Linked DNA regions of Neodiprion lecontei. The protein of the gene in region 3 binds, or shares a complex with, the protein of the main gene of each other region. Links are inferred from orthologs where the notes say so. Each region holds a gene or a part of one and is shown on either strand. Other genes may lie near its edges.

Region 1 (8,478 bases), on a different chromosome or scaffold from region 3:
CGGGTTTAAATGATTTAGCAGAGCGAATAAATGGAGAAAAATCATCTTCGCACGGTAGTTTCGCATTTAAATACGCCCAACGTCGCGTTAAACGCGACTTAAAATGACGAGGTCAAATGTTAATTGTTATAGATGTCGCCAGCTGCCAAGGTTGGAAACAGGGAGTAATAATTTGTCCCCGTCTTCTGAATTCGGAATCGTTCGGGATTCCGAAACGTAATACGACGCACTGCGTTGGTTGGACGAAAACTGTGCGATGTTGTGTGCGTGTGCGCATGGCTGCGTTGTGTGCGAGAGAAACCGAGGAAGTGTAAATAAGAATAATATACATATTTAACGAAAACGCCGATGTGGCTGTCGAAGTAAAAATTTTTATTTCCAAGAAACTCTCGTTCCCAGTTTGGTAATTCACTACCGCGACGTAGCCTCATCTGTAAACAATTCGTGTTCAACTTTCCAATTACGTTGTCGAGGTTATAGTTAAAAAAGCGTATAAAATATTGTTCGAAACGTAGTTTTGCGCCGGATTATCAACCTGTCGCTATTCGACCTCCCGACGATAATTCTGTGCAGTTCGCAAGATGTTCTTTCACTGCTATTCTAATGCCAGAAGACAGGGACCGGACCGTCATCTGTTTAACCAGTTCGCATAAAAGACCTAACAATCATTTAAAATATTTTGTAATTACCTAGCGGTAATTGTTTGATAAAAGTCAAGTCACACGTTGCGTCAATCGGCATCGGATAAAATGTCCGGCTGAAACAGATAGCACCGCATCTGGCACCAAACTCATGTGGATTTGAACCATCTCTGATACGTCTGTTAATTGTGTGGTAAATTTCACCGCTCATCATGAACGGCTTTAGCACCGGGGAAGAAGACTCGAGGGGAGCCGCGGATCAAATTTGTTGCCTGGTGGACGAGGGAGAGAGATGTACTCGTCCTACCAGCAACGCCTCGTACAGTAAGAGAATACAGAAAACCGTCACTCAGAAACGTCTCAAGCTCAATCTTGATCACATGGTACGTTCTCAAACATTTGTATCGAAGCAAAAGTTGCTACCTTCGAAAGGTTTTCGATGTGTAAAGGAAATATTGTTCTCATGGGCAATTTCACAGTGCTTCTTGTTTGTTTCAGGCCCGTCACATATACATCTGCGAATATCATAAGCAAGTTATACTCTGCGCCAGGTCCAAGCAGCAGCAACAGCAGCAACGCAGGCGAAAGGAGTCCGAAGAGGATTCGGGTGAAACTGATAACGATCTGCCAGAAGCTGACCTTTTTCAGCTTCAAGTCGGAACTTTGCGCCGTTACAAACGTCACTACAAAATCTCAACACGACCTGGACTGAACAAAGCTCAACTAGCAGATGTAAATTGAATTTCCATTATTTATCATCTTGAAAAATCATACAACCAGCTATAGATGGATGCGGAGAAAGACTACGAATGTCAACTAATGCTTATTTTGCTTTGCAATGTTACAGACGCTCATGAAACATTTCAAGACAATTCCTGTCGTGGAAAAAGAAGCTCTCACATTCTTCATATTCACTGTTAAGACTAATGCTAATAAGTTAGATCAGAAGAATGGATTGACCAGTGAACCTACGTAACATGGACTTGTCACTCGGTGTCCTCTACACTTACATTGGAAATCGTATGGCAAGGTATATCGAATAGATTGCTTTCGACACAAAACTAAGATAGATTGATAGCCCTAGAAACATTATGAAAATATTTAAATCTAAATGTGATATTTATTTTCCCTCAATTCTTATGATTGAGATTATTATATTATATATCAATGTATTTTTAATTTATTTCTAAGAATATAAATATCCACTTTTCAAACTAAGTAAAAAAAATTCGTTATACGGAATAATAATTTATCCACTTTAATTCTATACAATTGAGCTGATTTCGAAATTAATTTTTTTGTAAATTATACATGAATTGAACGTATCCATATATGGAACTAAAAAAAATGGTTTACTTTTCAAAATCGTTGTTCACAACGGAATATCGTGCTTCTGCCTTTTTTTTCAAACATCAATTCGATTTACTTGAACAATTCAGTGTAAATTCTCTCAGGGAATAAATCAACTAACGCGAAGTGCAATAGTATCGACGAATTAAGGGAAAATGTTTGGTGATATTGAATTTAGATGGGAATACGGATGAACTTTATAGAGGAGAGGCAGCCAAATGGGCTCTCTGTACATTCAAATGAGATTTAAAAAATTTTCGATAACGCTTGAAATGTAGGCTTAGGCTAAAGACGAAAAAAATAGCGCTATCGAAACTGTTCTAATGTTATTTCCCCTTAGGGGACCCATTTTGCCCGCCGCTCCCCTACATAGTACCTAAAAATATTTGCAGATAAGATTTATGGTGTACCTTATTCGACCCAGATACATTTTTATATAAAAAAATCGTGTTGCTTTTTCACTCCCTTTCGCAAAAAGTTCTTCATTTTCGGTATGTCTTTACACAATTTAAGTTCGCTGATTGTGAAATAAAATATAGAATAAAAATGGTGTACAGAGCAAACAGTTCACATCACAAATTCTTCATAATTTTAATTGATGTATCATCACAAGCTTTGTACTCTGATAAATTTATAAATGCATGTTTTGAAACGGGGAATGAGAGAAATTGTCGTGTGGAAATGAATGCAAGAAATGTTTGGGATCATTTTTCTATTAAACTACATGATATCATTTTTGCTGACGGTTACAGTATCTTCCTCTTCGCTGTCACCACCTAAATCTGTAAAAGTATTGCTTTTGAAGTGTTTATGAATTATTAATAAGTAGTTACGTATGCTGTGTAAAATTTCCGAAACTGAACTTGTCTAAAGTACTTGACAAAAAAGTTTTATCGTTATTAGGGGAAAAAAATGAAGTCACTGAATGTAATCGTATAAAATGCTCGACCTGGAAAGCTTTTGAGTATATTCCAAACTAAATCTAGAAAAGTTATTGGGTATTTTAAATTTGGCAAATAACAGAAAAGGTTACCTATATCGTCCAACACTTTTTTCTCTAGTTTCGTTTCCTGTAAGATTTCAATATCTTCGATTTCATCATCAGAGGATTCTTCAGATGCCTGCCAAGTATTGGGGCCTCCCTCTCCGACTGATTTACTCTGTTACAAAAGTAATAACACGAATAGTTTCGAGTCACGAAAATTATACAGTGCGAAATTAGATGATTGAACTTGGTAAAAATTTAAGTTCAGCACTTTAAACTAAATATTTATATCAGGTCAACTCGTTTGAATAACTAAGATTGAAGTATGCTAATTTTGTCATTGACAACGAATACAAGAAAATGTGTACCATATTAGTAATGAGCTCAGCAGATCCATGCCCAAGTGTTTTAATATTGTCATCCTCATCTTGGAAATCACTGGTCTCCATATCTGAAAACGAAATTTTACAAAACCCCAAATTATAATATAAATAACAGCAAATGCGATATTACAAATTTTCAAAGAGTGGGAATTTTTGATATTTACTCCAACCACTGATCTCTTATGAATTTTGATTGCCAAGCTATAGTAAACATCATTAATGCAAACTAGGCCACTAATCTCACCACTTTTGGGGCTGCTTTTCCCAGCAACCCAGTGCGCAAGTTTAATACTGAGCTTAGGTTTTGTCATTGCCGTCAATTTTCCGAATGTAATGCATTCCTTCAATCGACATACATCGCGATCTTCTTTGTTGTACCTGAAATTGTATAAATATTACAATTGTTGGCCGGTACAAGTTCTTACCAAGATTTACATTCCGGATGCAGAAACGCTTTTGAACTCTTGAAATGAAGCCAACCTACTTTGCTTCAACATCTTGCTGTGCTGCTTTTCTAATCTGCGTAACTAATTTGTTAGCATAATTAGCTGCATGGGGCGAAATGCTCGGCACCACATCAGCCGTCACAGATGTCTTGCCCAAATAGCAGAGCTGCAAGCTGCAGAGCTCTCTGTAAGAGTTTAATCCTAGGGTTAATTGCGATGCACCTACTCTCTCTTCCATGTAAGTAGGATCCATAACGATTTGGCCACTGAAAAAGATTAAAATGCTTTTAGCTTGAAGTAAACTGAGAAATGACTATTTGATTGTAAATTAACAAATTCTCTCTTCACCTTTCAAAGACAATAAACGAAACGCATACTGGATAGTGATGTAACGTTAGCGGGAGCGGATCTTTCTCGGCAAACGAATGGATAGTTATTGAATCACCAGTGGTAGTGACATCCGGTCTGTGAAAATGTGTCAGTGCAGCTAGTATAGCGATTGAAGCGCAATCGACAAGGTTGCCGTCGTGATTGAGAATGTTGACATCTACCCGCAGGTTCCATACCTACGTAAATCATTACTAACTATGCAGCATTCTCACATTGCACTAATCAAAGAACTTAGCGCAAAGCAATTGATGCAAAAATATTCTTTTCGAGTTAATTCGGCCGCATTAAAATCACCTTCTCATCTGCTACAATGCAGAGAGACTCCAAGTCGACGCATCTAGAATCTTTAAAGCATTTTTCCAACTGCCTGTTGACTTGCATTGCAAGTTCAGATTGTCTGCCTGCTTCAAAGTGTGGGGCAGCTATAGGATTGAACTCAACGTTGATATGAAGCATGCCTTCATTTGGACGCGATGCCTTTGGCTGCTGAATATCACAGGATACTTGGGCAATTGCTCTGAAAAATGTACAGCCAGTGACAAATATGAATTTTTAAGCAGTAACATAAGATGTAACGCCTTACTTAGTTTCACCCAAAGCTACGTGACAACAGCCCCAGTTTGCTCCAAAATGGATTTCCACTGGTCGAGCTTCCAATAATTGTCGTCCATCTAAACGCTGAATAAGATAATTAGGAAAACCCATTAATGATAGGTTAGAAACTAGTTAACGTAGCAATAATTTTGTTCTAACCGTGGAGGATATACGGGTAGAATCAATATTGATATAGGTTTGAAATACGTACACTTTATAAAGTCAAGACCAACAATAAGTAGAAAAAAAAACGTGCTGTAACAAGAGGTTATGAATAGTACAATTCTGACTTACCGTGTCTTCGGCTATTGCTCTATTTATAAAATTTCGTTCACAATTTGATAACGGCGTTTCCCTCATTCTGTATAAATTTATTTGCGAACGCTTTCACACAATTTATTTTAATTTCTTTGTAAATGTATAACAACAAATCGTATCTTATCTTCGACTCGTTCGAAATTCAAACCAATAAAGAATGCGAACCGTATGGACTTTACTCCACGGTTAGTAGGTCGGAGGAAATTACAGTATTCTGTTTCACAGACGTGATTTTACACTGGGATTCTGTAAAACGGGGCGGCAAGTGCAGAGCGATAATATTGCCCCCCGAATATAAGGGTTGAACCAAAGAGGAATGGTATATCTTCAGTCAACGCACTCACGATTAGATGAAAGAAAAAATTGCATTCGATTGATTTATAACCAGTCTCTTATTTTTATTGCCAACGCTTGAGCAGGAGTTGAATTTACATGCGTAGGATTCGCGTACCTCAGATTGCATCGTGAAGACGATTCTTAACTAAACTCAACTAAAATAAAACTAGGATATCAATATTTTTATAAAATAACAACGGATGCAACCTCAGAGAAAGAATTTTTTTGCTCAATACCAAGAAACACTTGGATGCTTGATGTCGATCAGCGTCCGGTCTGAAAGGCAGACGTGATGAACTTGACATTACCTGGCGTTAATTGACATCGAGAATCCATTCGCAATACACCAAATAAAAAATGATGGAATGTAGAATAGCTCACAGAATGGAGGTGTTTCATTGTCAATTACTGCTTTTGGAAGAGTAAAAAAATAATGCCCCGGGTGAGGATCGAACTCACGACCTTAAGATTATGAGACTTACGCGCTGCCTACTGCGCTACCGAGGCTCCGAGGTTATACGTTGGGTGCAACAAACGTTTCCACCAGCGTTTTATTTATGACAACTGTTTCACGATTAGGTTTTCTCTTCGAGATTATCCAGGTTTATTTATTATTATTATTCGGTTTAAATTCAATTCGAATTGAAGAAAAATATGATCTACAAAAAAGGGAATTTAAGCCAATTTGTTATCTCGACGAAAAAAAGTAAAACTTGTTACCTCAAAAAATCATTTCTTATTCCCATGATGGAAAACTGATATTTTCAGTATTTTCCATGACCAAATTAAAAATCCCCTGAAAATTCTAGGTTTTTTAATGATCCCTTTTAAAATACCCTGGCATTTCCAGTTTTTCCAGGTGTGTGTTGTCACCCATCAATTGTTTGGTACGTAGAATGCTTTTTTTGCTTCTGACAAACATATGGGACACTTGACATCGGGTGATGTATATAACCTTTTAAAATTGTTTAAATACTTTACAATCAATTCTATGATACAAATGTGGGTATTTGCTGAAATTATTCTATACCGACAAATATCGCGAATGAATATCTAGCCAGATAGATTAGTCAACTGACAATGAGCGAGCGTATTGAAAAACCAGCTAAGCCTTCGGGAGGTTTAAAGCACGGAGAGTCAGAGGGTAGATCAGCACAAGTCGAAGAGGACGAATATGATCCTTTTTTACATCGATCCCAGGAAAATTTAAATTCGTGAGTACGTTGTACTTCCTGTAGCCCGTAATGTGCATACGCTACGCTGGTGAAAATGATTTCTATAACGTTTTTCTTCAAATTGTTAGGGATGTTCGGAAATTTCGTACAATTTTGTGCAAAAAATTGTATTCCTACAAAATTGTACATGTGCATAGGTTCTCAAGAAAACTCGTCAATTTTACCATGAAAATTTGTATTTCTTTCAATAAAAGAATTTACAAGCTACTACAATTGTTAACGAAAATTAACAATTCGTCGAGAAATGATACGAAATGTTCCGACTTGCGTAAAAATTCGTAGTTGTAGAAATTTTCTCCAGGGTATAAGACACAAACGTTTGCATGGCTTGTTACACGCTTCGAAGACACCGCGCGTGTAAGTCTGAAATATTTATTGCAGCAGCACGAAAGATAATTATTATTGTGAAACTAATGATGGCAAAATTGAAAAATTTCTCGTCCCCCAAAGCTGTAATCTCGATCTAGGAGGAGATCTGATTACAGAGATGCAGCCGTTTTCATGCATCTATTCAAATCTACAATCGGCAGTGGTCTTCTTTTCCTGCCGCGGGCCTTCAAAGAGACCGGTACTATTTCGGGAGCGGCTTGTTCCATCCTGACGGGATTCGTCACAATGTACACGGCGATAACAACCGTAAGTGAATAATTCCAAAGAATGATTGAAAACTAATATGATACTACGGAGAAGTCGGGATTGCGAAACGAACCGATTCTGGATAATAATTATTCTCGTAAACTAATCACAATCATTCTCAGGTACGATGCGCCCAAATTCTTTGCAAGCGTGTTCGAGTGCCTTCTTTGGACTTGGGAGAAGTGGCCAGCTCGTCGTTTGAATACGGACCGGAATTTTTGAGGAAGTACGGAAGGACGTTTAAAGCCGTAACAAACGTCATGGCTTGTTTCGCGGAATACCAGACCGTCATAATATACATTCTGTACGTAGCAACCTCGTTTCAACAGGTGAGCAGAGAACTCTTCAATTAAATGCAAATACAGATAAGGCAATGTCAGGTCGAGCGTCATCGAAGTACGCGTATCGAATGTCTGATCATGGCACTGATTATCGAACAGGTCAACAGTTACTATCACTAAGAACACGATTTTCACCTTTTCAGGTAATCGAATACTTCTCCACGATAGTCTGGGACGTCAGAATATACATATTGTTGTCCGCGCCGTTCTATTGCTTGGTCTCCCTGGTCCCAAACCTGCAGTACCTGACCCCGATGTCGGTGGTTGGTAGCCTGTTTTTGATAGCGGGCTTCTTCGTCACTCTCTACTATTTCTTCAAAGACATGAAGAGTCCCTCGCGTCTGACCGCGTATACAAACTTCGTAGCCATGCCTGTTTACTGCACCATATTCCTGTTCGCGCTTCACAACATGTGCCTCCTTATGCCTTTGGAGAATTCCATGAAAACGCCCGATCACCTGCCGACCATACTAGCGATATCCATGACTTTTAGCTCGACTATATACCTGCTATTCGGATTATTTGGATACAACAAGTACATCAATCCCTGCGACACCGTCATTAAAAACTTGCCTCTGGACGAACCGTGAGTTATAATGTCATAAATTGTTTACCACGAGTTTCAGGTAGGACAGCCTGACACGATCTTCGCGTCTTCTTAAAAGACTATTTGTAATTCCTTTATAACTGATACCTGCGGTCGATTGTTTTTCATCTTTACCCAGCCGTTCAATGTATGTACAGTGTATAACATTGTTTTCCTGCGTCGCGGTTCGTAATGAAATTCTTGCAATTCTGCAAGGGATTCCCCTTTCCTTCTCAT
Region 2 (7,597 bases), on a different chromosome or scaffold from region 3:
CATATATTTTTATTCTAAAATTAAGAAAATAACATTCTGGATACATACGTTACGAGGATTTATTACTTTTTATATTTTGTAAAGGTACATCATATACTGAACGCCGGAACCGAACTGCAGGTTCACAAGGAACAGGGTTTGATTAGACCATAGGTCTGCGGATATAATGATTACCTAGCGCTGTATTTTCTTTTTTTCGTAGGATTCGTCGTTCTTTTCTCACTATTTTCCGTCTCTACGCTCATTTCCGGAAAATCCAACACATGATCATTGTATGCATCAAAATCTGAGAATCATAGAACAAACATCAAAAGTCAGTCAAAAGACAGAATTTGAATAAATTCCTATGAATTGACAGGTCACAGTAAGACAGTTTAATTTGATTATAAGCACACGACAGGCAGATAGTTTGTTTCGTACCGTTAATGTTGTCTGTGGACATGATAGTGTTGCAGCTGGGACACTTTGGTGGATTTTGGACTCTCGCACAATTAGCAAAACAAAGCATATGTAAAACGTTGTGACAGCAAATGCAGCGTTCACCCTATTTAATAATAGATCAAAATTAGAAGATTTTGAAAATTGTAAAATATATTATTAAAAGATTCAAAGTATTCACATGGAAGACCATTTGACGGCAAAGAGCACAGGTTTTAAGAGCTTCTTCGGAGTAACTAGCTTTGAAGTACGGAATCAACTCTGCTATGCTGCGTACACCCATGTAAAATTTACCATGCTGTAAATATCCGTAAATTAGTAAACTGATATGGAACAATTGTAACTGATCCGAACAACTTTTTATTTCGGTCTCCATCCGATCAACATCCAAGCAATACTAGATATAGCTAGCATAGAATCATTAATTGTACACTTTCAAGTATTATTCAAAGCTTACAGTTATATTTATCGAAACTAATCAATATCGTAGGGCTGTTCATTAATAATTATAAGAATAGTAATGACAATAATAATAATTACTTCCAGTCCCGCAATACCGTTTCGGGTATGACCCCATAAGCGGACAGTTTGTGTGGGATGAGGGAGGGATGGGTTACTGACCATTAATTATGCCTCTGCAGCCGTCTTAAAATTTTCATTAGAAACATCTGTGTTGGCACAGAAAGCAAGGAAAACTACCGAAAACTTTGCCCAAGTGTAGCCAGACCGAGTTCAAACTTCAGCTTGTCGATTGGGCGCCTAAATGACCTGACCCATCTTACAGTTTTTGCGAGCTGTCGCTTAGGTCCTCATCGACTAGCTAGTGGTTTGAACTCGGATTACATCGTTCGATAGTCTCGCACACTACACGTGAGATATGCAGTCTACATTACATCAAAAGTTGAAAAAACATAAAAGAAACATGCATCCTGGGCAATGATTATAAAGTCATCAAATTATTTAATTCTATTACCTCTTTGACAAACCACTTTTTCTCGACCATCTTTGCCAAGAAATCTTCGGCATCTGCTTTTGACATTTGAGTGTCGAGAGAAGAGCACAAATTCAAGCACGCAGTGCTAGGAGCACAACCATCGTCCGAAGTAATTATTTCAGATAAAATCTTTCTGAGCAGTTCCAGCTGTGCAGGTGAAAATTCATTCTGGAAGCTTAATTCAAGATTTTATTAACGCAATCTTTCTTTGACCGAAGGTTAAAAGGAGCACTTGACTTTTCTATTCAATTACAAACGAATTAACTCTCACAAATCATAAAAGGGAACATTATTACCATAGTTGAAGTAAATCGGGCTACTCATTTCTAGTAATTTTGATTTGATTGTTACTTTTACGTTAGGACTGCGCGCATAAACAGAAAAGACTGACTGTATGTAAATACTCGTGCAGCAAATGTCAAATCGATGAGTGTTTTAGATCTTGAGATTTCGAAACACTAATGTGATATGCCAGAGTTCTTACTATTGGAATATGAAATTCGATTCAACGAGTCCCCTTCTCAAAATTTGCAAAGTTGTGCAGTGTCCTGCGATATAAATGACAAAACAGGCAGCCTCGACAAACTGAACATTTACAGAGACAAGTTTCCCCACGTGTTAATCAGTTTGACATGACTATGGAATGTACATATTAACAATACCTCGCAGTTTTATCAATCAACGTACTGATCAGAATCCAATACTTATGACCTGTCAATTCACAGGTTACAAGTTTTATAGTCATGTTCAAAGGTTCCAGTTTAACATTGATTTGATGTATGTATGTCTGCGTGCTTTCGTTCTGTTCTGGAAATAAACGTAAATATTGCTGTTTGACTTCGACGGAAAGTGTTTGTATGTTAAAAAGTACGACTATTTGGATCACAGCTCAGGGGTAACTTACGAAATAACTTGACAATTAGTTCTCTCGCGTCGGCAGTGCTCACAGCTCCACGTTCCATTATCACTTGTAATAGCGCACGATGGTTATTGGTATACGACATGCTGAAGTTGATTGTATGCAATTTACTGTGATTAATCTATCAATGCATGCTCTTTGAGTGACAATATGCCGGAAGCGGGAAGAAATCAAAACACCCGCAATCTCTGACTGTCCTAAAATCATGGATCACGATTGCCAATGATACCCTTCATCGTATCATTTGTATGACAGGCATGGGGGTAACAACAGCGTCCTACATTTACCAACTCGTTTGTAGGGGTTAAACCGTGATTATCGACGAGCTTGAAAATGCCGCCAGCTGGCTGTCGGGAATTTGATTACTCGAGTATATAGCGAATCGGAAATTTGGCCATTCGGAAAGATGACGATTAGAGAATTTAGTAGGTCCCTAAAAGAGTGGGTTGTTGGTGTGGCGATTTTTCTGTCAGGCTGTACCCCGTGAAGGATGTATGCACCAAGTGTGTTTTCCGAACACGACCGTGGTTCCGATATTAGCTCCCGATGATATCAACAATCAGTTATCTCTCTTGCGCTGCCTAGTTCATGAGTAGCTCTGCCTCTGTCCGAAGGAATTTTACCGCTAGTAGCTAATTTCGGAACGCACTCCAAATATCGCGATTCGCAAAAACGAGTAAGAACGTCCAGAATGATTCAAATGCTCCACTATTTACGGCTTAAAGTTCCATAAACAACGTTCGTAAAATACTCACCTATAATTTCTGATTTCGCAGCGTATTCACGTTTCTTTTTTGCAAATAATAAAGCGATATTTGTGATTCTACCATTATGATAAGAAATTATTACGCACCATAACCTCATGAACTTGCTGTCACAACAACAAAACTGTCTCACTCGCACTTTATGCGAGAGATACAAAGACGCAGCTAAATCGTACTGCGCATGCGTGACTCGTCATCTCGGTTATTCTTCGCAGCGAACTGCTCACTTTTCGCTGAAAATTGATCCCACTTTTGGAATCGGAGTTCGGTGTGGTTCGGTGGAGTTCAGTCTCCTTCCCTCTTACTTCGTGCTTTTCGGAAAGACTATGCGGTACCACTTGTGAGACAAAAAAACTTCTATATGTAAGAACATCAATTGATGTGAGGGTATACCTCTGTTGACGTATGTAAGCGCATGTGCGTTTGTTATTTAAAACTATAAGTTGTCTCTGATTTAAAAACAAAATGCCTTTTGATCAGAAACGTATAAATGGTCCAGAGGTTTCCGTACCGTATAGCGTCTACACTGACGTTAATAAATCGAAATCAAGTAAACCAAAAAAATCACTGCATAAAAGAGTTGATGGTCGAGAGCATAAGGATCTCAGAAAAATTTGTAAGTAAGGTTATGACTCCTGTTATATTTTGTTGTCTTCTCTCAAAACTGGATAAATATATGGACCTACAAACCTAGAAAAGGACCTACAGCCTTTAGCATAAGTACAAAAAACAGAAAAACAGTTGAGTAAATATGTTATAGTAAAGCGCAACGGATGTTTATTTATAGTTGCATTTATGCATTATAACTAGATACTATCGTTTACGATTTCTTTAATGTTTTTACACAATTTGCGAATATCTGTACAGCAAGCAAAATAACCCATAAAACATTAAAATCTTATCAAAAACACAAAAGTTTAATCATTTTAAACATTCTAATTATGAAACCCTTTTACAGATCATTGATATCTTAACTTGCAGTACCAATTCCATAGTGTCATATCACCGATCATCTGTACAAAGGGCCTTAATTCAAAACTTGCGCAATACACAGCATAATTCAATTGTCCAACTCTGCGTCAAATTGATCTCAGGCTTTCTGAGTGGTTAAATCGTTAAGTCTATATGGAAAGTCTATTAAACTGAATGCGAATTGGAGAATAAAATGATTAATTAAAATATAGCACGATCTGATATTCTTGATTTTTGAATGGCAGTTGTCAAAACTGGTGTTATCAGCCAAGCAAAAGGATCAGCCTACATAGAGGTTGGAATTACAAAAGTGGTATGTTCAGTATTTGACCCGAGGGAAATTCCAAACAAGAATGAATACAGTTTACAAGGTGAACTCTTTTGCGAGTTTAAATACGCCCCATTTGCCTGTGCAAAGAGACGAATACACCAGCAAGATGCGGAGGAAAAGGAATTCAGTCTCGTTATGCAACGATCACTAGAACCAGCTGTTTGCAGGGTATTTATTATTTACCATTAACGAGACGAGTATCAGCTACTTTTGTAAATTAGAAAAAATAGTTTCAGTATGTAAATATTCAGGAATGTAAATATTAATTAACAACCTCTATATATGAAATGGACAAAGGAAATCAATGATTTTTATAAAATTTTGGGCTCCATAAAATACGTTCAAATTATTAAGCGTACCAAAATAGGCAAATGAATACTATGCTAAAAAAATTTTTCTTCAAAGACATTTCAGTTTTATTTTCACAACTGTTTTAATTCATAAAGTGTTAGCAATTCAACTCTGTATTTGTTAGTTGATGCACAATTCACCTTTCACAGCAAGAGTTCCCAAATTTTCAAGTCGACGTGTATGCTCTGGTCCTCGACAACGGTGGCTCCTCTTTAGCAGCAGCCATAATGTGTGCCAGTCTTGCATTAGCAGATGCAAGTGTCCCCATGTTTGGTCTGGTTACTGCAGTTTCCGCAGTAAGTGAAGTAAAGGCAGTAGATGCTCGTGAAACCTCCACAGGCCAACTCAATTTGAAATATCTTCGTAAAATCTTTCACAATAGAAACATCTTCATTCATAATGAACTATTGTCAAACTGCATTCTTCACATGGATATGAGTCTCTTGAAAATTTCAATTATAGTGTTACAGAAGTGCAGATAGACGGAAAACTGTAATAAAAATAACAGCTGTTGAGATATTTATGTTCCTTAAACTGTTAACGAACTTCTCATTTTCAGGGGTTCTATAAAGATACAATGTTTTTGGATCTGACAGTGGAGGAAGAGGTACTTTGTAATTCTGCACCAGCAAAGCCAAACCCACCCAATAACCATGGACTGATCATGCAAGCTGCTTTACCGCAACATGACCAGATTTCAGAGTTTTTTCTCGTTGGAAGCATTAACATAGATTGCATAAAACAAGCTATCGAAACCCTCACTGTAGCTAATAAGAATATATGTCCAGTTGTTCAGCAATGTTTAGTCAAAACTGTCCTCAGAGCTTTAAAGCGAAAGGAACAGGAAAAAAATTAAATAAAAACATGATTAGAAATGAATGAACCTTGAAATTTTCCATTGATTAGTTTGACAAGGAGAGCATGATGTACATAAAAATTTATACATTCATTTGAGTTGATAAGAATTGGTTTATTTATATTTTTAGAGTAACAGAAAAAATCAGTTCGCAGCTTATTTTTTATAGATAGGATTAATCTTCTGGTTTTTCTGGAGGTGGGCCACAAGGCTGCAGCATTTTCTCCATCAGATTAAATCTGACGCGTGCCTTGGCTTCGTTTTCAGCTAGCGCAAAAAAATTTAGAAGGTCGTAATGCCCCATGTAAGAGCTACATGAATCTCTGTGCTGATTAACCAACCATTCAAATTTCGTTGTGTCTGCATGACCTGTCCCAATGTACTTGGATTGAAGATGTTCCAGCTGACTATGGATATTGTAACGTTCCCCCATTCCTAAATTGAACAATAACAAAATGCGTGATACATAACCTCGAAATTATAGGTTAGCGCTATTAATGGGACGCAATATTCCATAAATTCATTTATCACCGTCTGTCGTATGGCCGAATGTACTCTTGCAATATGTAATGTCAGTTATACTTCACAATATTAACAATTACTAAAATAGTGAAAAATTTCACTTGATATACTTTTCTACTTACTTTTGACAACGCTCTTGATAAGTTTCTAGTACACTTCTTGGTCTCTCTTATAAATGATTAACGAGATCAGTTTTCTAATGTATGTACAAGATTAACTACTTGGTTTTCACAAAAGTTTTGTTGATGTATGTATGCAGGTCCAGATGCCGAGTCCGTATTTTTATCAGTTTTGACACAAAACTAGACAGATATTGTCGAACGTTACAAATCACGCTTCGTCTTGAAACCATAGACTTATAAAGATAGACTAAGCGCTCCTAGAAGAGGCACTGACAATCACATATAAGGGACAGAGATATATCAGGACTACTGCTCTCACTTTTCAATTGGCGTCATGGTGGAAGACAACGGAGCAGTGGAAGTGGAACAGCTGTAGATATAGGCGCATAATTTCGCCTCATTCTCCTCTATCGCCTCGATCCCAGCCCCAAATATCGTCAGAGAGAGAAGGGAGTCTCCCGGCATATTTCTGTCCTTTAAATGTTTGCTTCAAGCGGCTCATAAGACCGCTCAGTCTATCTTTATAAGTCTATGCTTAAAACTGATGATGCACAGATAGTGGTCAAGCTGACCGCATTCAACCTATCTCTCTCACTCCGGATTGATCTTTGGCATACCTGCAACCAATGCCACTTCGGTAGAAAAACTACACTAGCAACGCTAGTAGTACAGAAAATAACCCTAATGTGTACAATTACTGAAGACAAGTTTTGTCCGTCTTGTGTTGGGTGTTTGGTCAGTTCCCTGACACACGCTGCTAAAAGTGGTTCGCAAAATGTCCCTCGATTCTGCCGCCAATCTCCACCACTAGTGGCGCTAGTAGTTGTCTGAAAAGCGTGCGCGCGGTCTACGAAGGCAGCGAGGGTGTCAGAAGTTTACTAGCGCCACGTAGGGGAACTAAAAAACGGGGACAAAACGCATACAATTTTTTAGTATACGAGCAGTGGCGAGTGTCAGGGGGCTGGTGTTTGGCTCTATTTGCGACCTGAAAAAAAAAGGAAAATGATCATCATTCTCACAATGTCCACCACCGCTGTAGGTTAGCTGGTGACGTTAAGATCTTGGCCGTGTTCGTAAATTGACTAACAGTACTCAAAATTCCCTAGGACAGAGTCAGAGCTATTCACGAACTGGGAAGCGCAAAAGAGATGAAAGATTGCTGACAGTACTGTCAGTCAATTTTCGAACACGGCCCTTATCTTACTCATCCTCACAGACGCATAAGGCCCCTGGCGGATTTCCGTCGTACTAAGACAAAATAATCACAGTAACCGAGGGCCAGTTGGACCACCTCTTATTCTTACACCGTGCCCCCCTCCCCCCCCCCC
Region 3 (8,342 bases):
TTACTGTGATTTATATGGAACAAGATAAGTTGTTAAATGAATAAAAAATCATTTACGTTGCAGAAACAAGGCGATTGCAGACTATCTGAGTAGCAACGGATATCAAGATGCCCTGGAAGCGTTCAAGAAGGAAGCTGACATGCCTGGTGAGGTGGAGCGGAAATACGGTGGGTTGCTCGAGAAGAAGTGGACTTCAGTCATAAGACTACAAAAAAAGGTATGCATGTCATACCCATTCACATCAATTGGATACCTTGGGTCATACATGTTACATGATAAAATCCACCAATGTTATTTCATATTTATAGGTCATGGAACTCGAGTCGAAACTATCAGAGGCAGAAAAAGAATTTATTGAGGGAGCGCCTACTAGGGGTAAGAGATCACCGACCGAATGGATTCCGAGGCCACCTGAAAAGTTCTGTCTCTCTGGGCATAGGGCGCCTGTAAACAGAGTAATTTTCCACCCAGTATTCAGCCTTATGGTTTCTGCCAGTGAAGACGCCACGCTAAAGGTGAGTTTCAATACAATTTAACATGGCATGTGCAAGTAGGATCTCCTTGATCATTCTTGGCTAACAATACCGTGTAAAATTGTCACATGTAAATATATTTGATTATGAACCTCCTCAATTGTACAACTCCCACGTGTATATCTCATGTATACCCGCAGAATTTGAATTATTAATATTCCCTAGGTGTGGGATTTCGAAAGCGGAGAATTTGAGCGAACACTCAAAGGCCACACGGACAGTGTTCAAGATATTGCATTCGATACTACTGGAAAGCTCTTGGTATCCTGCAGCGCTGACATGTCAATCAAGCTGTGGGACTTTCAACAGTCATTTGCCTGCATCAAGACGATGCACGGGCATGACCACAACGTTAGTTCGGTAGCATTCATGCCGCAAGGAGACTTTATTGTCAGCGCGTCACGGGACAAGACCATAAAAATGTGGGAGGTAAGGAGTAGGGTGCAAAATTCACACTGAAAAGCAGTTATGGTATTTCTCTTGATATTTCTTTTAGAGAAAGGATTGTATGTGACAAACGATTTAATATCACCAATTTGTTTGGTCATAGGTTGCTACTGGTTATTGTGTAAAAACGCTTGCGGGGCACAGAGAATGGGTCCGTATGGCACGGGTGAGTCCTTGCGGCGAACTGATTGCAAGCTGCTCAAACGACCAGACTGTCAGGGTATGGCACGTTGCAACTAAAGAAACCAAGGTACTAAAAATGCTCCTTAATTGTACCCTCCATTAATTTTTATCCAGTAAATAATCAATCCTATGAATAACATGATATAAACTATACTTGGTTCCTTACAGGTCGAACTGAGGGACCACGATCATGTTGTGGAATGTATCGCGTGGGCCCCGGAAACATCGCGTGGAGCGATCAACGCTGCAGCTGGAGCAGACAATAAAGGGGCACACGAGGGACCCTTCCTGGCATCTGGATCCCGAGACAAGACAATACGCGTGTGGGACGTTGGGGCTGGGGTATGTCTATTCACTCTCCAAGGGCATGATAACTGGGTACGTGGAATAGTGTTCCACCCAGGTGGTAAATATATAGTCAGTGCATCAGACGATAAGACGCTGCGGGTATGGGACACCCGCAACAAACGGTCAATGAAGACGCTTGAGGCACACATGCACTTCTGCACGTCTGTTGGTGAGTTTTTTGGTTTTCTCCGCTTTTTAATTAAATACTCGAGGGAATATTGCAATAAGTGGGCTAGCCCTTCAGCCGCTATGAGAATGGAGGCATGATATACATCATCTTTTGTATTGTAGATTTTCACAAGAGCCATCCATACGTGGTAAGCGGTAGCGTGGATCAGACGGTAAAGGTTTGGGAATGCCGCTAGTCACCCAGTTTCTGAAATTACTGAAACTTAACAAAAGTCCAGTTCCATATGGGGATGGCACAGAAGTAAGCTGCTGAAAAGCTATCGTACATACTATTATAAAAACACATAAGCATATACGATTAAGAGATCCTTAATTAATTTATAATAAAGTATAATAAATTAGTAATTGTAATAATATTGTTTAACAGTAATAAAGTATTCAAATTAAAGGGCTACAAACGGCTTTAAGAGGCTTCTGAAGAGGTATCGTATGCCATAAGAAAATAGAGAAATTTATCGTGTACAATGATATTGTTGTAAGAAAAAAATGTTTCAAGAGACAAGCAGACTCGATTGGTTCGCTAAATTGTAAGTTCCAGATTAGTGGCGCAATAAATAGGTCTATCGGTCAAGTAACGAAATGTAAAGCCCTTTGACTGCTTTCGATATTTTTGCGATCAAGCTTTGAATAAATTTATCACGCCGTGATACAATATATTATTGGATATACAGACCACGATTATCTTAATGCACTCCTGAGAAAAATTTCATTCATTTCAGTCCGTTTTGCGGGAAGAGTTTCCGCCTGACAGTTATTTGAAACGTGAAGTAAGGTTTCAGAGTCTCTTGTTGAGGCCTCTTGAGCTTGATGATAAAATTATGAAATGATAATTATTAGAGCCAGTTTTGACTTCAGTTAATACCAGATTGAATCAAATTCTTTACAACATATCGCTTGTTCGACGTGATTTTCTATCTTCATATTTTTGTCGCGGATGCAAAACATGTTATCAATTGATAGAATAAATTGCATGCAAGATACAGTAGCCTCGTTGAATAAGTAAATATTATCTAGAGCTTGATCGTTGATCGATCATCATTAACGGACGTTAATGACTATACCATATATACACTTCTAAAATCCTTCACCCTGTAATTAGCTTGACAGTTTCTTCTGGAACATCGATTATTGTCCAAACGCAAGTCTTCATCCAAAACCTAAGCTCGAGAAGTTCTGAAGTTGACCTGGCTCTACTATTTACGTAACGCTATTACTTTATTTATATACATACACGTATAATATACTATTGCTATGCTATACTATTCTACTACACATTGAATATTAACCATTAATCTACCTTATACCCTATTGTGACTACTGTACTCAAATTATCTATTTCATCACACTAAAAAATTGAACAAAATTTTAAGAACCCAGTATACATATACTTTGATTACAATTAATTGCCCAGCAATGAGAAATCGTTATGATTATACTAATTTGAATTAGAAAATTGCGGTAATATAATAATATTCTTTACCAATAACGTTTTGATCTATGGTCAAGCGTAACGTTGGACTGGCTGCTGTTACTCAAATGATTTTTGACGTTAAATTCTTCGCGTTCTTACCAAGATTTAATTTCTCAATTTCGGTGGAAAGTTTGTTGGAATTTGTAACGTCAACTTTTTTTCAATGCTGGACAAACTTCTTGACGTGCATTATTAACGTAATATTACTATATACAGTAAATTAATAGCAAATTACCAATAAAATTTGTGAAATTGAAAAATATTGATTACACTTGTGTATGGAGATCATAATTTCTGTAGCTTAACAATGAATGGGGTGTGAAACGAAGTATACTAGGATACTAAGTAGGATAGTACTGTTATAATATGAGTAGGAACACTTGGAATACGTGTAGAAATTAGAGCACACACATACGACTTGCAACCAAATAGACGTGATGAATAATAATTAATTTTAAAATAGTAACCACTCAATATTGTACCCTGCCCATCTACTTTCCTTGTTTACGTCCTTTGTCTTCATCTTCTCAAACGATGATGGTATTAAAGTATTATATTCTTTAATAAAAAATTGTCTCCAAAAACTACATTCTAACTTACAGAGTATTCTTTCTCACTATCTTTTGCCGACTGTTGTGTGCTCTATTGCTTTCAATAAATCTAAGTAGATTATCACTCATATCGAAGGAAGATTTTATTGCAAAAAAAAGCATGTTTCATAAAATACTTAAAATATCTGGATGTACACCAAGGGTTGTGGAATTAGTCTTTTTCTTAGCTTATTCGGAGTAAATTACGGGCGATACTCGAACACAAGGCTGGCATTTCTGCTGGTGGGGTGTTTTCCGCAGCTAAAATAGCATTGCAAGCCGCTATTGTCTCGTGGACTGATCTGGCCTTCATCCAGATCTTTCCATTCATACCTATGGCGATTTCGTAGGCCTGTTCTTTGGCAAGCAATGTCAACAGCTGACAACTTGGGTGAAGCAATTTCCTCGCCAAACTAAGGGAACAATCAAACAGCATCCCATCTGGACTTAAGACACCTAACTTGCCCTTCTTCCCATGAGAATCGACGCATATCAACTCCGGTTCCATGCCTTTGCTAGCCACCAGTAGCTTGGCAAAAATCACGTCACCTACGACAATGTCAGGTCGATTCTTTTTTGTTGCTCCTTCAAAAGCCAAGTAGGATAGAGATGCCAGTTCCCCTGCCCCGATGTCAACTCTGTAAATATCCCCAGCCTTCTGCGTCACTATTCCAACAACATTCTCCCCTCTGTTCGGGACGTACCTGTAATGAAATAAATAAATTGTTATTTAGAACATATCGAAAGAGATGTTTCCGCAAAGAAGCATAATGTTGATAAGTAAAAGGTAAACAGGCTCGAAATACAATTATTCTAAAAATATCAGTTAATCGATATCGAAGCGAAAAGGAACAGCAACGAAGAAAAGTCCTTGAATCAGGCAAGAATATTATTTATTGATCAAATGATATGATAAACATGCATCAGCTTACGTTATTGCTGAGTTGGACAGACCAATACATAGAACATTTCATATTATTAACCTTTTCTGATAGCTATCCACGTAAAATATAGCTGGTTTTCGCCTCTTCAGTACACCAGCTTTGGTGACAAGGACGCGGTCGCAGTCGCGACGCAGTCCAGGACCAAGAATCACTCGCTCTTTTTCACTTGATTTCATTATTTCTACCGCGACATCGCCAGGAACCACAACATCCTTAATATTTACTTCCATTCTGACTGCAAGAGGTAATGGTATAAGCGTGGGAGCCTCGTCTGTGTCGCCTTTGAGAGTAATTTAGAGGCTATGTTTACTATTCTAACCTGATCTATCAATGTAATCTCACGGGTGGCCGGTGAAACTATGGGTAGAAACGTGCCTGACAGAGTTGAGTATGAGCCTTGCGTACCAGACCTAACTAGCTTAACATAACCTGTTCGGACTGCGCTCAATCTGTTCTTCGCGCAAAATGACACAGACGTCGTGCTCAAAAAAATTGATTTCACCATTTGTTGGAATCGGCAATATTATCATCAAATATACAAAAGGGTTAGCCTTACTTTTTTCCTCGTTTTTTGACCGAAAAATTTTTCGTCTTGGAATTGATTTGTATGACCCTTTCCCGACCAATTGGACCACCAGGAACTCAGAAAACGCAGCGAAAAGAGCGTGGGACCAACAGGAGAGAAAATACGGAGGAAAAAGCACCTGCTGAAAAGTGTCAAAAATACAGGTTCTCGTTTTTTGGCTGTAACTTCTGATGCGTTGATCGCAGCGTCCTGGGACTGCGCTCAATCGATTTCTCTCGCAAAATTACGTCGGATTAGTGTCAGAAAGAATTTATTCCAGCACTTTTCAAAATCGCGAAACTTTTCGCCAAAAATACAAAGGGGTTAACCTTCCTTTTTTTTTGACCGAAAAATTTTCCGTCTTGGAACTGATTTGTATGACCCTTTCCCGACCAATTGGACCCCCAAGAACCCAGAAAACGCAGCGAAAAGAGCGTGGAACCAACAGGAGAAAAACTACGGAGGAAAAAGCACCTGCTGAAAAGTGTCAAAAATACAGGTTCTCGTTTTTTGGCTGTAACTTCTGATGCGTTGATCGCAGCGTCCTGGGACTGCGCTCAATCGATTTCTCTCGCAAAATTACGTCGGATTAGTGTCAGAAAGAATTTATTCCAGCACTTTTCAAAATCGCGATAATTTTCGCCAAAAATACAAAGGGGTTAACCTTCCTTTTTTTTTTACCGAAAAATTTTTCGTCTTGGAATTGATTTGTATGACCCTTTCCCGACCAATTGGACCACCAGAAACTCAGAAAACGCAGCGAAAAGAGCGTGGGACCAACAGGAGAGAAACTACGGAGGAAAAAGCACCTGCTGAAAAGTGTCAAAAATACGGGTTCTTTCTTTTTTGGCCGTAACTTCTGATGCGTTAATCGCAGCGTCCTGGGACTGCGCTCAATCGATTTCTCTCGCAAAATTACGTCGGATTAGTGTCTGAAAGAATTTATTCCAGCACTTTTCAAAATCGCGAAACTTTTCGCCAAAAATACAAAGGGGTTAACCTTCCTTTTTTTTTTGACCGAAAAATTTTTTGTCTTGGAACTGATTTGTATGACCCTTTCCCGACCAATTGGACCCCCAAGAACCCAGAAAACGCAGCGAAAAGAGCGTGGAACCAACAGGAGAAAAACTACGGAGGAAAAAGCACCTGCTGAAAAGTGTCAAAAATACAGGTTCTCGTTTTTTGGCTGTAACTTCTGATGCGTTGATCGCAGCGTCCTGGGACTGCGCTCAATCGATTTCTCTCGCAAAATTACGTCGGATTAGTGTCAGAAAGAATTTATTCCTGCACTTTTCAAAATCGCGATAATTTTCGCCAAAAATACAAAGGGGTTAGCCTTCCTTTTTTTTTGACCGAAAAATTTTTCGTCTTGGAATTGATTTGTATGACCCTTTCCCGACCAATTGAACCCACAGGAACTCAGAAAACGCAGCGAAAAGAGCGTGGGACCAACAGGAGAGAAACTACGCAGGAAAAAGCACGCGCTGAAAAGTGTCAAAAATACGGGATCTCGTTTTTTGGCCGTAACTTCTGATGCGTTGATCGCAGCGTCCTGGGACTGCGCTCAATCGATTTCTCTCGCAAAATTACGTCAGATTAGTGTCAGAAAGAATTTATTCCAGCACTTTTCAAAATCGCGAAAATTTTCGCCAAAAATACAAACGGGTTAACCTTCCTTTTTTTTTGACCGAAAAATTTTTCGTCTTGGAATTGATTTGTATGACCCTTTCCCGACCAATTGAACCCACAGGAACTCAGAAAACGCAGCGAAAAGAGCGTGGGACCAACAGGAGAGAAACTACGGAGGAAAAGCACCTGCTGAAAAGTGTCAAAAATACAGGTTCTCGTTTTTTGGCTGTAACTTCTGATTCGTTGATCGCAGCGTCCTGGGACTGCGCCCAATCGATTTCTCTCGCGAAATTACGTCGGATTAGTGTCAGAAAGAATTTATTCCAGCACTTTTCAAAATCGCGAAAATTTTCGCCAAAAATACAAAGGGGTTAACCTTCCTTTTTTTTTGACCGAAAAATTTTTTGTCTTGGAACTGATTTGTATGACCCCTTCCCGACCGATTGGACCCCCAGGAACTCAGAAAACGCGGCGAAAAGAGCGTGGGACCAACAGGAGAGAAACTACGGAGGAAAAAGCACGCGGTGAAAAGTGTCAAAAATACGGGTTCTCGTTTTTCGGCCGTAACTTCTGATGCGTTGATCGCAGCGTCCTGGGACTGCGCTCAATCGATTTCTCTCGCAAAATTACGTCGGATTAGTGTCAGAAAGAATTTATTCCAGCACTTTTCAAAATCGCGAAAATTTTCGCCAAAAATACAAAGGGGTTAACCTTCCTTTTTTTTTGACCGAAAAATTTTTCGTCTTGGAACTGATTTGTATGACCCTTTCCCGACCGATTGGACCCCCAGGAACTCAGAAAACGCGGCAAAAAGAGCGTGGGACCAACAGGAGAGAAACTACGGAGGAAAAAGCACGCGCTGAAAAGTGTCAAAAATACGGGTTCTTTCTTTTTTGGCCGTAACTTCTGATGCGTTGATCGCAGCGTCCTGGGACTGCGCTCAATCGATTTCTCTCGCAAAATTACGTCGGATTAGTGTCAGAAATAATTTATTCCAGCACTTTTCAAAATCGCGAAAATTTTAGCCAAAAATACACAGGGGTTAACCTTCCTTTTTTTTTGACCGAAAAATTTTTTGTCTTGGAATTGATTTGTATGACCCTGTCCCGACCGATTGGACCCCCAGGAACTCAGCAAACGCGGCGAAAAGAGCGTGGGACCAACAGGAGAGAAACTACGGAGGAAAAAGCACCTGCTGAAAAGTGTCAAAAATACAGGTTCTCGTTTTTCGGCCGTAACTTCTGATGCGTTGATCGCAGCGTCCTGGGACTGCGCTCAATCGATTTCTCTCGCAAAATTACGTCGGATTAGTGTCAGAAAGAATTTATTCCAGCACTTCTCAAAATCGCGAAAATTTTCGCCAAAAATACAAAGGGGTTAACCTTCCTTTTTTTTTGACCGAAAAATTTTTTGTCTTGGAACTGATTTGTATGACCCCTTCCC

The links. Proteins that work in one complex are often made in the same cells at the same time.
Region 1: exosome complex component RRP40 (region 3) and exosome complex component RRP45 share a complex: the UniProt entries of both Homo sapiens proteins name them as parts of the RNA exosome core complex. The link is inferred for Neodiprion lecontei from reciprocal best matches to the Homo sapiens genes EXOSC3 and EXOSC9.
Region 2: exosome complex component RRP40 (region 3) and exosome complex component MTR3 share a complex: the UniProt entries of both Homo sapiens proteins name them as parts of the RNA exosome core complex. The link is inferred for Neodiprion lecontei from reciprocal best matches to the Homo sapiens genes EXOSC3 and EXOSC6.

What each region holds. Positions count from the first base shown.
Region 1 is NC_060265.1:3,639,717-3,648,194, reverse strand, and holds exosome complex component RRP45, read right to left. Parts: upstream 5,445-8,478; 5' UTR 5,150-5,444; coding exon 5,084-5,149; intron 4,874-5,083; coding exon 4,779-4,873; intron 4,713-4,778; coding exon 4,490-4,712; intron 4,372-4,489; coding exon 4,154-4,371; intron 4,072-4,153; coding exon 3,844-4,071; intron 3,738-3,843; coding exon 3,604-3,737; intron 3,428-3,603; coding exon 3,345-3,427; intron 3,152-3,344; coding exon 3,025-3,151; intron 2,774-3,024; coding exon 2,712-2,773; 3' UTR 1,950-2,711; downstream 1-1,949. Other genes in the region: histone deacetylase complex subunit SAP30 homolog, read left to right, coding at 854-1,024, 1,140-1,373, 1,489-1,617; proton-coupled amino acid transporter-like protein pathetic, read left to right, coding at 8,024-8,241. UniProt on the Homo sapiens protein: Non-catalytic component of the RNA exosome complex which has 3'->5' exoribonuclease activity and participates in a multitude of cellular RNA processing and degradation events.
Region 2 is NC_060261.1:14,538,182-14,545,778, reverse strand, and holds exosome complex component MTR3, read left to right. Parts: upstream 1-3,375; 5' UTR 3,376-3,580; coding exon 3,581-3,731; intron 3,732-4,332; coding exon 4,333-4,586; intron 4,587-4,918; coding exon 4,919-5,065; intron 5,066-5,328; coding exon 5,329-5,625; 3' UTR 5,626-5,648; downstream 5,649-7,597. Other genes in the region: non-structural maintenance of chromosomes element 1 homolog, read right to left, coding at 171-286, 421-544, 620-736, 1,412-1,607, 2,095-2,239, 2,337-2,436; splicing factor 3B subunit 5, read right to left, coding at 5,801-6,058. UniProt on the Homo sapiens protein: Non-catalytic component of the RNA exosome complex which has 3'->5' exoribonuclease activity and participates in a multitude of cellular RNA processing and degradation events.
Region 3 is NC_060264.1:3,210,683-3,219,024, reverse strand, and holds exosome complex component RRP40, read right to left. Parts: upstream 5,299-8,342; 5' UTR 5,262-5,298; intron 5,206-5,261; exon of another isoform or gene 4,941-5,205; 5' UTR 4,936-4,940; coding exon 4,745-4,935; intron 4,466-4,744; coding exon 3,946-4,465; 3' UTR 2,323-3,945; downstream 1-2,322. Other genes in the region: lissencephaly-1 homolog, read left to right, coding at 64-217, 309-515, 699-962, 1,084-1,230, 1,332-1,680, 1,803-1,876. UniProt on the Homo sapiens protein: Non-catalytic component of the RNA exosome complex which has 3'->5' exoribonuclease activity and participates in a multitude of cellular RNA processing and degradation events.